Linked DNA regions of Drosophila melanogaster. The protein of the gene in region 1 purifies or fractionates together with the protein of each later gene. This does not show direct contact. Each region holds a gene or a part of one and is shown on either strand. Other genes may lie near its edges.

Region 1 (5,523 bases):
GTTAATGCTCTTGTGATAAGATAAATTGGAAGGCAAGCACCATGCCCAATGCCTAAGCAAAGAAAAGCCTCATCAAAGTCAAGCCATTTTGATGTGCCCTGTCAAAGATACCAAGGATGCTTTAAATTTTACATATTTACACACGTTTTTCCAGAAGCCATATGGTGTAAGATAGCTCTTGGTCAATAGGCTATGACACGTATAAACATTTTTAAGATCGCAAATGTTCGGAACAAATAAAAATAATTACTAGATAAGCCAATTGGACATGCAACCTACAATTGCCGAGTGATGATAATAAATTGTAATTTGTGCTTTCAGTGAACTTACATCGTCATCTACAGGCACATGGCGTCGACTACTTGCAATTCTCATTTCGCTGGATGAACAATCTGCTGACACGCGAGCTGCCGCTGCACTGCACCATCCGATTGTGGGACACATATCTCGCAGAGTCTGACGGCTTTGCCCTGTTCCACTTGTACGTGTGCGCGGCATTCCTTCTGCACTGGAAGGAGCAGCTGATGCAACAAAACGATTTCCAGGTGAGTCTCCAGACGAAAAGATCTTCCCTTCCTGCAACGTCTACTAATCATTGCCATCTTGCTATGTGATAGGGCCTCATGTTGCTGCTACAAAATCTGCCAACACACAACTGGTCCGATCGACAAATCAACGTTCTGCTGGCCGAGGCATTCCGCCTGAAGTTCACGTATGCGGATGCGCCCAAGCATTTGGAGACGAAGAGTTGACAAAAGCAACACAAACAACGCATATACGTAACTTAGAAGTTAGTTTATTACGATTTGCGGAATATACCTACACAATACACGTACGCTACATACATCTAATAATTATATACAATTTGTTATTTAGACGTTCCTCTCCGTTTGTTTTCATTCTATGTCGTTTTCGTTTTGTATTTATCAACAATCCGTACGTAGGCAACCGCTAAAGTTCTGCGCTTTTTGTACATAAGAATCAAAAATTCAAAATACAATTTTACACGTTCAACGGGTCGAGCTGTTTCAATTGAAATTTGTCTTTTATAAAAACAAATCGAATCAAATGTAATGAGAACTAAATACTTTTTCCATGTGAAAATTCAAATTAGCCTAAACAATAAAGATGAAAAGCTATAGTTTATGATTACACGAATTCAACAAGGACTTAAAGCGACTAACTACAAGCCTGATATTTCTAATTCTGTCTATCGGCAATGTGCTTAAGCTGCTTGAGCACCGTCTCCAAAAGCTTCTTCTTGTCATTCTTTCGCACCAACGAGAAAATTGGCTTTTTGTCCGCCTCGCGGATCTTTTCCAGTATCACAATAATGGACTGCGGTTGCACCAGATGGTAGCGGTTCTCTTGCTTGCCATAGTCATGGAAATACGTGCTCCATTCCTCTAGAATGAGCAGGTCCAACAGCTGACGGTTACGTAGGAAGTACTTGCTCAGCTCTCCTTCCTTTAGACCAGGCACAGGTTCCGAGGCCGCAAAAAACTCGCACTGCATCAGATCCAAGTTGATTTGTGTGAGTGCTCCCGTGGAAATCTGCTTCACATCCTCGTCATACATGATCGAGTAAATCTTCTCTGCAATGTGCTCGAAGGTGCGTCGGCAGGCCGCCTGGGCGATGTGGGGCAGCTTGAAGGCAAAGCTGTCAAAGGTGCTCTTAAGGTAGGAAATCATGTCCGTAATGAAGGCGGAGGCTATTCCCGGCGGCTCTACTAGTAACCAGTCATAGGCGCTTAGTTCGAAGAACTCATCGATCTTCGAGCAAATACGTAGGCCCACCTGCTTCTCGGCATCTTGCCGGGCCACGTGGAACATGGCCGATGGTGTCTGAGATACGCTCCTCTCCGTGTTGGTCATGTGACACACGAACTCGTCCAGAAACGGCCCTGCCTTCTCCAAGTACTGCGTGTCGATTATGATCTGAATGAGCTGCGTCAGCGTGATGCTCGGCTGGCGGAACACCACAGATAGACAGCCACTGAAACTTCGTGTGAGCAGCAGATTGGCCGCCTTGCGCACCATGGCGGCCACCTCGTTGGGCGATAGGGTGAGCTCCTCGGCGAACTTCATGCAGGCGTACATGAATTCCTTGGCCTGGTGATAAACCTCCGGCACCATTCTCGAAAAGGGGAATTTCTTCGGAAACGGAGCATTTTCAAGCTGTTCCGAGTGGAAGGGGAATCGTTCGATGATGCATTCATACTCTTCCGTGTTTTGTACAACCATGGGCAGGAACTGTTCCTTGTCGAGAATTTCGCGGAACACATGTACCCAGCGTTGCAGTAAAACCTGGAAAGGAAAGCCAAGAGTTTTACAAACAACAGAATGGCTTATAGAATTTCTTAACGTTCACCTCATTATAATGATCCCGCATGTTGTGCAATAGTTCCCAGAGGATGTTCACGGTGTAACCGTAGCACTTAAAGGTGTTGATGGACAGCATAATGAGGTTCTTAATGCGCAGAAGGATATTAGGATCGGTGCAGGACGAAGAACTCATGCTGATTTCGTTGACAAACTTGGTTAACGAGCTGGACCACAGATCCTCCAAATAACTGCTGGTCACGACATCGCCCGCCGTGTTTTTAACGTGATCCTCAACCACGAAGAAGCCAACGATGGCACAGATGTACGTTTTGTAGGCCTCCAAATTGTCGTGCATGTTGGGCGGCGGTTGAAGCACCAGTTTGGCCTGATCCCTGCGCTGCTGACGATAGTCCTTCTCGAAGTACTCCCGCTGACCCAGCACCATGTAGATGTGTAGGCAGCGGTAGATGGGGGAGAAGTCAATGAGATCCTGGGCACTAACGTTGGCACCATCATCATCCCCGCCAGCACCTGCTCCGCCGGCTTCGCCGCCATTCATCTGCTGCATGTGCTCGGCAATGATGGCGTTGATATCACGCTTTTGGAGCTGTTTTGTGTGTGTGATGGCCAGCTCGCCGATGCGGGGTGAAAACTTCCGGATGTTCTCGAGGAACTCTCGAAAGTCCGAGGCGGAAGAGCGACGGATGTTTTCCTTGATTATGGGAATCTGTATCTGCATCTGGGTGGCGAATCGGTAGTTGTGTGTCTTCAAGCGCGTTAGGTGCTCCGTCTCCAGAGTCTCCAGAGTTCTCAGCGCCTGGTAGTACTGCTTGTTCTTTGCCTGCTGTGTGAACTTCATGTAGCACTCCAATGCGGGCAGACAGGATTTGAGTGCCTCGATGGCGCTGGCCAGATTGGATTCGATCTGACGGGCCCGCACTAGATCATTGCCCTGCTGAATCAGCGAGGCGCTGATCTGGCGAAGGGACGTGTCCAAGGAATGCACTTCGTTGTGCAGCTGTTGGGCCTGCGTGCGCACCTGGAGCAGCTCCTGAATTGAATCGATGAAGCCCTGGTAGTACAGATTGCAGATCCGCTCGATCTCTTTGTCATGGCTCCGTATCCGCTGCTCCAGTTGGTCGCCAATCTGCTTAGTGTTGTTGCCTGTCCGGGAAAAAAGGAAAATGGGCGTAAACAAAGTGTGCCAATTGCTTCTATTCGCAGTCACCTTCAAGGATCGAACGGAATGTTGGTCCCCAGTAGTCGTCCACCGCCTCAATGTCTTGCACGGTCACTTTGGACATCTTATAACGCTCTTTTTTCTCTTCTAAACAACTTTTTACCAAACTTTAATGAGCAATTATTTCGCCGACTTATCGGTATGGTATATCGAATATTTACTAAGTGTTATCGAGGTTTGACTTTCGATACTAGGCGATAACAATTTTAAGCGGTATGTTTTAAATTATAATACAAAGTTGTGTCAGAGAATATCTGACTGCATTATCTTTTAAAAAGATATTATCACTAGGATTGTAATAAAATAAATAAATCAAATAGGCGAAAACTACCGAATCATAAACTTAATTTATATATGTATATCAAAATCCGGTTCTTAACTATTTAAGCAGGAAACAATGATTTGTAAAATATTTATAAATTAATTAAATATTTACAACTTAAACCTATGCTATTAGTAATGTTCACCAACATAATATTCGTTGGTAATTTTGATAAGAAAAGTAATTAATTACAGATGTTTGAATAACTCATTTTGGCGCCCTTATTTCAAATATCCGCAGCAAGCAACAGGTTGGAATGCCGTCTGCTCGTTATAGGCCGCCTTGGAACAGCTGTTGCTGTTCAGCTTTCACTTTGGCTTCGCTTTGGCTGGCCGCTTCTCGAGAGGGCCAAGAGTTGTCGGTGGAGTTGTGGTTCCGTTGATACAGTTATGTTGCAGTAACACCCGTACACGCACGCAATCACGGCACAAGCTAAACACCCGAAATCAGCAAAGATGGCCGACCTACGGAGTCGCCACAATGGAACCGCTGCCATGGAGAAGCAAAGCCACAGCCAAACCGGAAGCCACCATCACAACAACAATAAAGCGCTGGATAAGGAAGCATCGGAGAATGGAAAGCCGGAGAAGAGTGATCCCATGATATACATAATCTTCGTATCGCTGCTCTTCGACTTACTGGCCTTCACCATCATTCTGCCGCTGCTGCCCTCGCTGTTGGAGCACTATCGCCAGAACGACAGCTCCGGCTTGTATGCCGTGCTCACGGATCGGGTGCGCTGGTTCCAGCAGCTCCTGGGCGCCCCGGATCGCTACATATCGGTGCTATTCGGAGGCTTTCTCGGCTCCATGTTCAGCTTCCTGCAGTTCGTGGCCAGTCCGATTGTCGGAGGACTCTCGGACTACTACGGACGGAAACCAGTCCTGCTGGCTTGTGCGGTAGGTAATCCCAGTGCTCAATGCTTTAATGTGCACTAAACACTAAACTAGTCTTGTTAGTTTTCTTTTTGGCTTGGTCAACATTTCATGCTATTACGAGTTCAATCCAAAAGCGTGGAATTCGTCAAATTCAAACTCCTTAGCTAAGCCACAAATAAGTAAACCTTCCTTAAGCTACGTCTTCTTTCATCTATAGAGTGGTATTGCGTTATCCTATCTGATCTGGGCCTGCTCCAGCAACTTTGCCCTGTTCGTTTTGGCCCGCTTCGTGGGCGGAATTAGCAAGGGCAACATATCCCTGTGCATGTCCGTCATTACGGATGTGTCCAGCGTTAAGACCCGTGGACGCGGTATGGCCCTTGTGGGTGTGGCCTTCTCGCTGGGCTTTATTGTGGGGCCCATGATTGGAGCCCTGTTCGCCATATTCTCCGATAAAAGTGGAAGTACTTGGTTTGTGTTGCCCTCTCTGCTGGCGTTTGGCCTGGCAGTTGGAGATCTTGTGGTCCTGGCCTGCTGTCTGCGGGAAACGTTGCCCAAGGTGCGTACGGTTGGCTAAATTAAATATATTCCCAACACCATTAATTGTTTGACCTTTTCGCAGGAGAAACGTGTTAAGGAGATATCATCTGCACTGTCTTATGGCCTGCAGTTGCTCAATTTTTCGGCCATATTTAGGTAATTCAATGTTTTAATTAGCATGTCTCGAAAACCTGTCGTGTGATCAAATCGAAATCGTC
Region 2 (5,226 bases), on another chromosome or scaffold:
CAATATATTTATGCTCGAAAGTAAAAAAAAAAATCAGCTGAAACATTTCAGTCTAGTCAAACTTAATCTTAAGTTTTAAACCTAAATTTCCTACTAACCAGACATATTAATGATCTCCATCCAGAATCCGGGCCAATTTGATTCGATTGCATCACGCTTCCTGACCATTTTCGATGGCATGGAGAACAACCAATTCGTGCTCTCCATCGCCATGGAGGACATCTTCGAGAAGTCGATCGAGCAGCCGAACTTCCGGTACATGGGCGCCAAGCTGTACAACCTGCTGCACATGCTCAACTCGAAGCCGGACTCGCTGTTCCACACGCTGCTCAAGTGCAAGCTTGACTACCACCAGGAGGAAGTGACCAAGTACATGCGCTCCAACGAGCAGCAGAAGGTTCGCGAGACTGCCCTCTTTCTGGCCGAGCTGTACATGCAGTTGCGCGGCGACGACGACTCGCGCATCCAGTTGATCGCTGTGAATATTGTATATTCGCTGAGTAAGCTGCTGGCCAGCGAGAGCAACGAAAATGTTCGCTGCCTGTGCCAGACCCTCAAGCTGGCTGGATATGATCTGACAGCCGATTGCCCCAAGGACATACAGGAGATCATCACCGCCCTGCAGGCGATCGAGCTGAAGTCGCCGGGCAAGTACCCCATGGCGGCAAGTGTAATTGCCCTGCAGCAGAACAACTGGGGCAGGAAGGTGTCGAACGCTCTGGGAGACGATGAAGATACAGTGAAGGAGCCGCCGCGCCTGAGCGATGAGCCCGTCTTCTACGGACCTGATGGCCGCGAATTGACTGCCGAGGAGACCGATTTTCTGGCCGGCGGGGATAATGATGGTGATGATGACTTTGATGGGGATGGTGCCGACCTAGAAATCGACGCGGAAATGGACGAGGAAACCGAGCGGGCATACAAGGAGTTCTGTAAGCAGGGCAAACAGAAGACCTAGACGACTGTGGAGAACTGTGTTGCATTGGACGGATTCATGAGGGCGTGGTCGTTGGCAGGATATAGCTTGGGTATAGGAGGGATGGTGGAGAGCGTAGGAGTGGAGCATTTCCAACAAATTCTCGGTTGTAGGATCGATGATTGCAGTTGCTTGGTTCAGAACCAATTGTGATTATCTTTTAAATTATTGATAGCAAATTGTTTGTGATATCTTCGTGTTTCATGCACCTATCATAATATGACATGTGTTAATGACTTTGTTCGAACGCTTTTTGTGTGATACGCCCGTTTTGTATCTCTGATAACTAACTCTCTGCCATGATAGCCAGTTCATTCATTCAGTTTGTACTTTTTAACTTGAATTAAATAAATTTGAATAGTCGCGAAGCCAGGATTTCGACCGTAAACGGTAAAAGAAATATATATATATATAACTATAGCCACTGCCACGCCGAAGTGAACCGCTGATACAGACACACACGCAGCTGCACTCAAAGACTCGTACTCATATGCGCACCCACACACTTGCATGGCACATATGCAGACCCATAAACGGCAGAAAAAAACAAAATCGCAAATTTCACATTCAATTAAACGACATTCTCTTGATCATACAAATCGAAAAACGAAAGAAAAAAAAACGACAGCAGCCACGCCTAATTTTTAAATAATTGTAATTAATGTTAACGAATCCATGATTTAATTATAAATAAAATTTATCGAATTGCGTTTAAAACAAAATCAAATTGAGCGATTTTATTGAAACGGGAAAGAAGCCTGTTCGGTTTTCGAACTAAAAGCGGTTATATTTTCGTTATTTCTAATTATGTCGAAAGAGTCGAGTATATGATAAGTGCAAGCGGGGTTTCGAACCTTTCGGATGCTATGACTAAAGGTATTGTGTTGATCTATTGCTGCTGTTTGTGATGTTTTTAAAACAAATACATGAGTGCTTTAAAGTTGCTTTATAGCTGGAAGAACTAACAAACCTTTTCAACAAAAACAATCGATATTACCTCACCGCCTAAAACAACAAGCGCATATGTTTGGCTTATCGATAGTCTGGAGCTATTGCAGTTTGTCCACCTCTACTCAATCTGCTCGCGACAGTAAAAAAAAATCGGATCGAAGTGTAAATCGGTGTGAATTAAATTATTCGCTGTGATGTGATAAAAGCTAAACGGCAGCGAGTGCTCGTAATAAACGCGCAAATGTTCGGCGTAGTGTCCCCAAATCGAAGGACCTTGAAACGAAATTGGAGACCAAAACAAAAGTGACGTCATAATGGTGCTATTTATGTATTTGTATGTACGTCTAGGCATCATCTATGTATACAAATTTCGCTTAAAAATTTGCCAGTGAGACGCAAACACACAAACACACGCCCGCAGGAACAATAATAGATAAAAACAAAACTAGCAATAAGCTGTAAATCTCGAGTATTTATAAGAAATTCAAGAAAGACAAAGGCAAAGTGACAACTAAAGGTCACAAAACAGCGAAAAAGAAAAACAAATACAACACAACACAAGAACTGTGCGCGCGTGTGTGTGCGTGTGTTTTTTGAGTGTTTTTGCAGACAACAAAGCAACAAAATTCAAAAATAAATTTACAATAGTGTTTTCCGCCTTGCACACTCTAACTTTCGATTTTAAGAGGGTCTGCCTTTTTTTTTTGGTTCCCTTATGAATGAACCTTGTAAACTGACCCAGAAATTTATAGCATATAACCAGGCGTCTATATTGTTTTTCATTCCGCATCCAGATCGCCTGCAGAAGTTAGCTGGTAAAAATGACACAATAGATTACTGAAAAAGCAAAGCAACGACGATCCAAACGGGTCTAATTTTTATACAAACCCCAACACCCCCAAAGATATCCAAATTAAAGAGCCCTACGATCCACACCCGCTAAGATGGCCAGCGTATGGAAGCGATTGCAGCGCAATTTCAAGCGAGCCGCCAAATTCCAGTTCACCGCATCGTACCACGATCTGCATCTGGAAACCACCGCCAAGTGGTAAGTGCCCCACATGAAAGTGGATTAGTTCACCGGGAGTCGGCTAAAGTGGGCGGGGCGGGTCGGTGGCGGTCTTAAGTGCCTTTCAACTTGAGGGGTTAATAGCACGTTTCTGGCGGAAAGATATCTCGTTTTTAGATTCCTTTTTGTGTATCATTGAAATCAATATATTTTTTTCCGTTTCCATGTAATTTTTGTGTTTCTTCAAAAGAATATCTTCTTATTAATGTTTATATTTACTTGCCTTATCTTGCATTCGCGTCTATTTTTATTAATGAATATATACGTATATATATTTATGCGCAAAAAATGTGTAGACCCTACTGCAGTATCATTTGTTGAAGTTATAATATTTCTTATCATTTTCAAAGAACAAGCTAAACAAACGCTTATAGTTGAAGATTTATTTTCCCTTCATATACAATGATTGTTTCATAAATACGATAAAATATTGATATGACTAGTTACTTGACCTTTATTACTCTGCACCTTTAATTTACCTTTATCTAAATAAGTACATATTTCGGAGAATATCATTGAGCAACTAATTATATAGTTTAATTCAATTGCCGAGAGGAGTTAGTCATGCAAATAAATTAAGCAAAATATTGAAAATAGTATAATATTGATGAGGCTATTGGCTACTGAATTCCATGACTACGAATTTATAATATAGTCGTACTCCATTTGCTATCTATATCTTTGTATTTGCAAATGACCCCAACTTTTCCTGTTGACATGAAATGTTTTGTACAGACTTTTGTTTAATAAACCAATCATCGCATATATTTATCAACTGAAGAACCCACATATGCATATAATGACGCCGCATCCGGTGTTCAGAAATTGTTATTCATGGTCTTGTATATAAAATACATGATCAGAGTTGAAAGAACTTTGAGAAACCAATTTGGCATGAAATGGTTAACAATCATGTGATGGCCAATTTCAGGCGGCCGTCGAACCTCTCTATCGTTTGGACCAGAAGATCTAGACGAGTGGCCAGTGCTCCTTTGCCATGGGAGCCGGACATGATGAACCCCTTGGTGGGCAATATATCCTGGCCAGTGCCCGACAATCACACCATATCCGTCACCCTGTTTAAGGATCCTCGGACACACGAGCTGGAGGACAAGGACTGGACGTTTGTCATCGAAGATGTGGGTTAAATAATGTCATGGATGCATAGAGTTGCCAGTAATTGGTGTTACCTTCCATTAGGTCACTCCAATGGGCAAGAAACGTGTGCTGGCCAATGCCAGCATTAATATGAGGAAGTATGCCAGCATAGAATCCACTCAGCAGAGCTTTACCTTGAGCCTAAAGCCAGTCTCGAAGAAGATTACTGCAGCCAGTTTGGAGCTCACGATTAGCTGTGTATTTTTGCGAGAAGGAAAGGCTACGTAAGTCGACTGCCCTTTAATTATCTACTTAGAATGGAGCCTCACTACTAAGTTTCGATTCCAGAGACGAGGACATGCAGAGCGTTGTCTCCATGATGTCCGTGAACAACAATGATGTGGCGCCTTTGGATGACTTGGAGGATATTCCAGATCTTGATGGCTTTAGTGAAATTACGGACAATTTTAATGACTTTACACAGCAACTGGAGCATATGACAACTAGCCTAAATGGCTGCATTGATGTGGCCACGCCTCAAAGTGGTAAGAAATCTTGTACTATAACTTAAAAATTATGTTCTATGTGCTAAAATTCAAGTATTTGTATCTGTTAGTATGTAAAATGGACTAGATCGTATCTATTATGTATATTGAGTGCTAAACATAAGAAGCAGGGATTTTAAATATTGTAAAGCTCTGTTTTCGTTATGTAAGGCACTTTGGTTAAGTATGTTATATACCCTGTAAATGTTTTCTGATCTCTAGATCAGAATTCCCAAACTACGCATCTAATGGATACCATATATGTACACTTGATGATGCATGATCTAACAAACAACAAATTAATTGATTCTAATTATAGCATCTTAGCTTTAGATACTTTGTACAGACACTTTTATCTGACGGAAAACGAAATTATTTCCTTTCTATATCCCATGACATCTACATCACATCACGTATCTTGAATGGTTTCCTGCAACTTGTAATTTGTGCGTAAATTGTTAAATGTACATTTCCTTTATTTTCGTTTTCTTTTTGTTTGTCATTATGTAGTACCTTCGTTATCAGAAGATCCAACTCCGTTGGCCGAGTCATTTAATCCCTTGCATTTTGAACTAGACGCCGACGGC

The links.
Region 2: the proteins of Sec15 (region 1) and Ehbp1 purify together in Drosophila melanogaster (affinity purification with western blotting, with the first as the bait; one study listed by BioGRID). This does not show direct contact.

Annotation. Positions count from the first base shown.
Region 1 is NT_033777.3:21,104,265-21,109,787, forward strand, and holds Sec15 (secretory 15), read right to left. Parts: upstream 3,709-5,523; 5' UTR 3,630-3,708; coding exon 3,554-3,629; intron 3,490-3,553; coding exon 2,372-3,489; intron 2,308-2,371; coding exon 1,201-2,307; 3' UTR 782-1,200; downstream 1-781. Other genes in the region: Tbc1d22 (TBC1 domain family member 22), read left to right, coding at 322-545, 618-752; rtet (tetracycline resistance), read left to right, coding at 4,343-4,786, 4,983-5,324, 5,388-5,461. UniProt on the Drosophila melanogaster protein: Component of the exocyst complex involved in the docking of exocytic vesicles with fusion sites on the plasma membrane.
Region 2 is NT_033778.4:17,012,698-17,017,923, reverse strand, and holds the start of Ehbp1 (Eps15 homology domain containing protein-binding protein 1), read left to right. Parts: upstream 1-2,029; 5' UTR 2,030-2,265; intron 2,266-2,721; 5' UTR 2,722-2,871; coding exon 2,872-2,975; intron 2,976-3,927; coding exon 3,928-4,135; intron 4,136-4,196; coding exon 4,197-4,378; intron 4,379-4,442; coding exon 4,443-4,639; intron 4,640-5,149; coding exon 5,150-5,226. Other genes in the region: Paip1 (Poly(A) binding protein interacting protein 1), read left to right, coding at 125-958.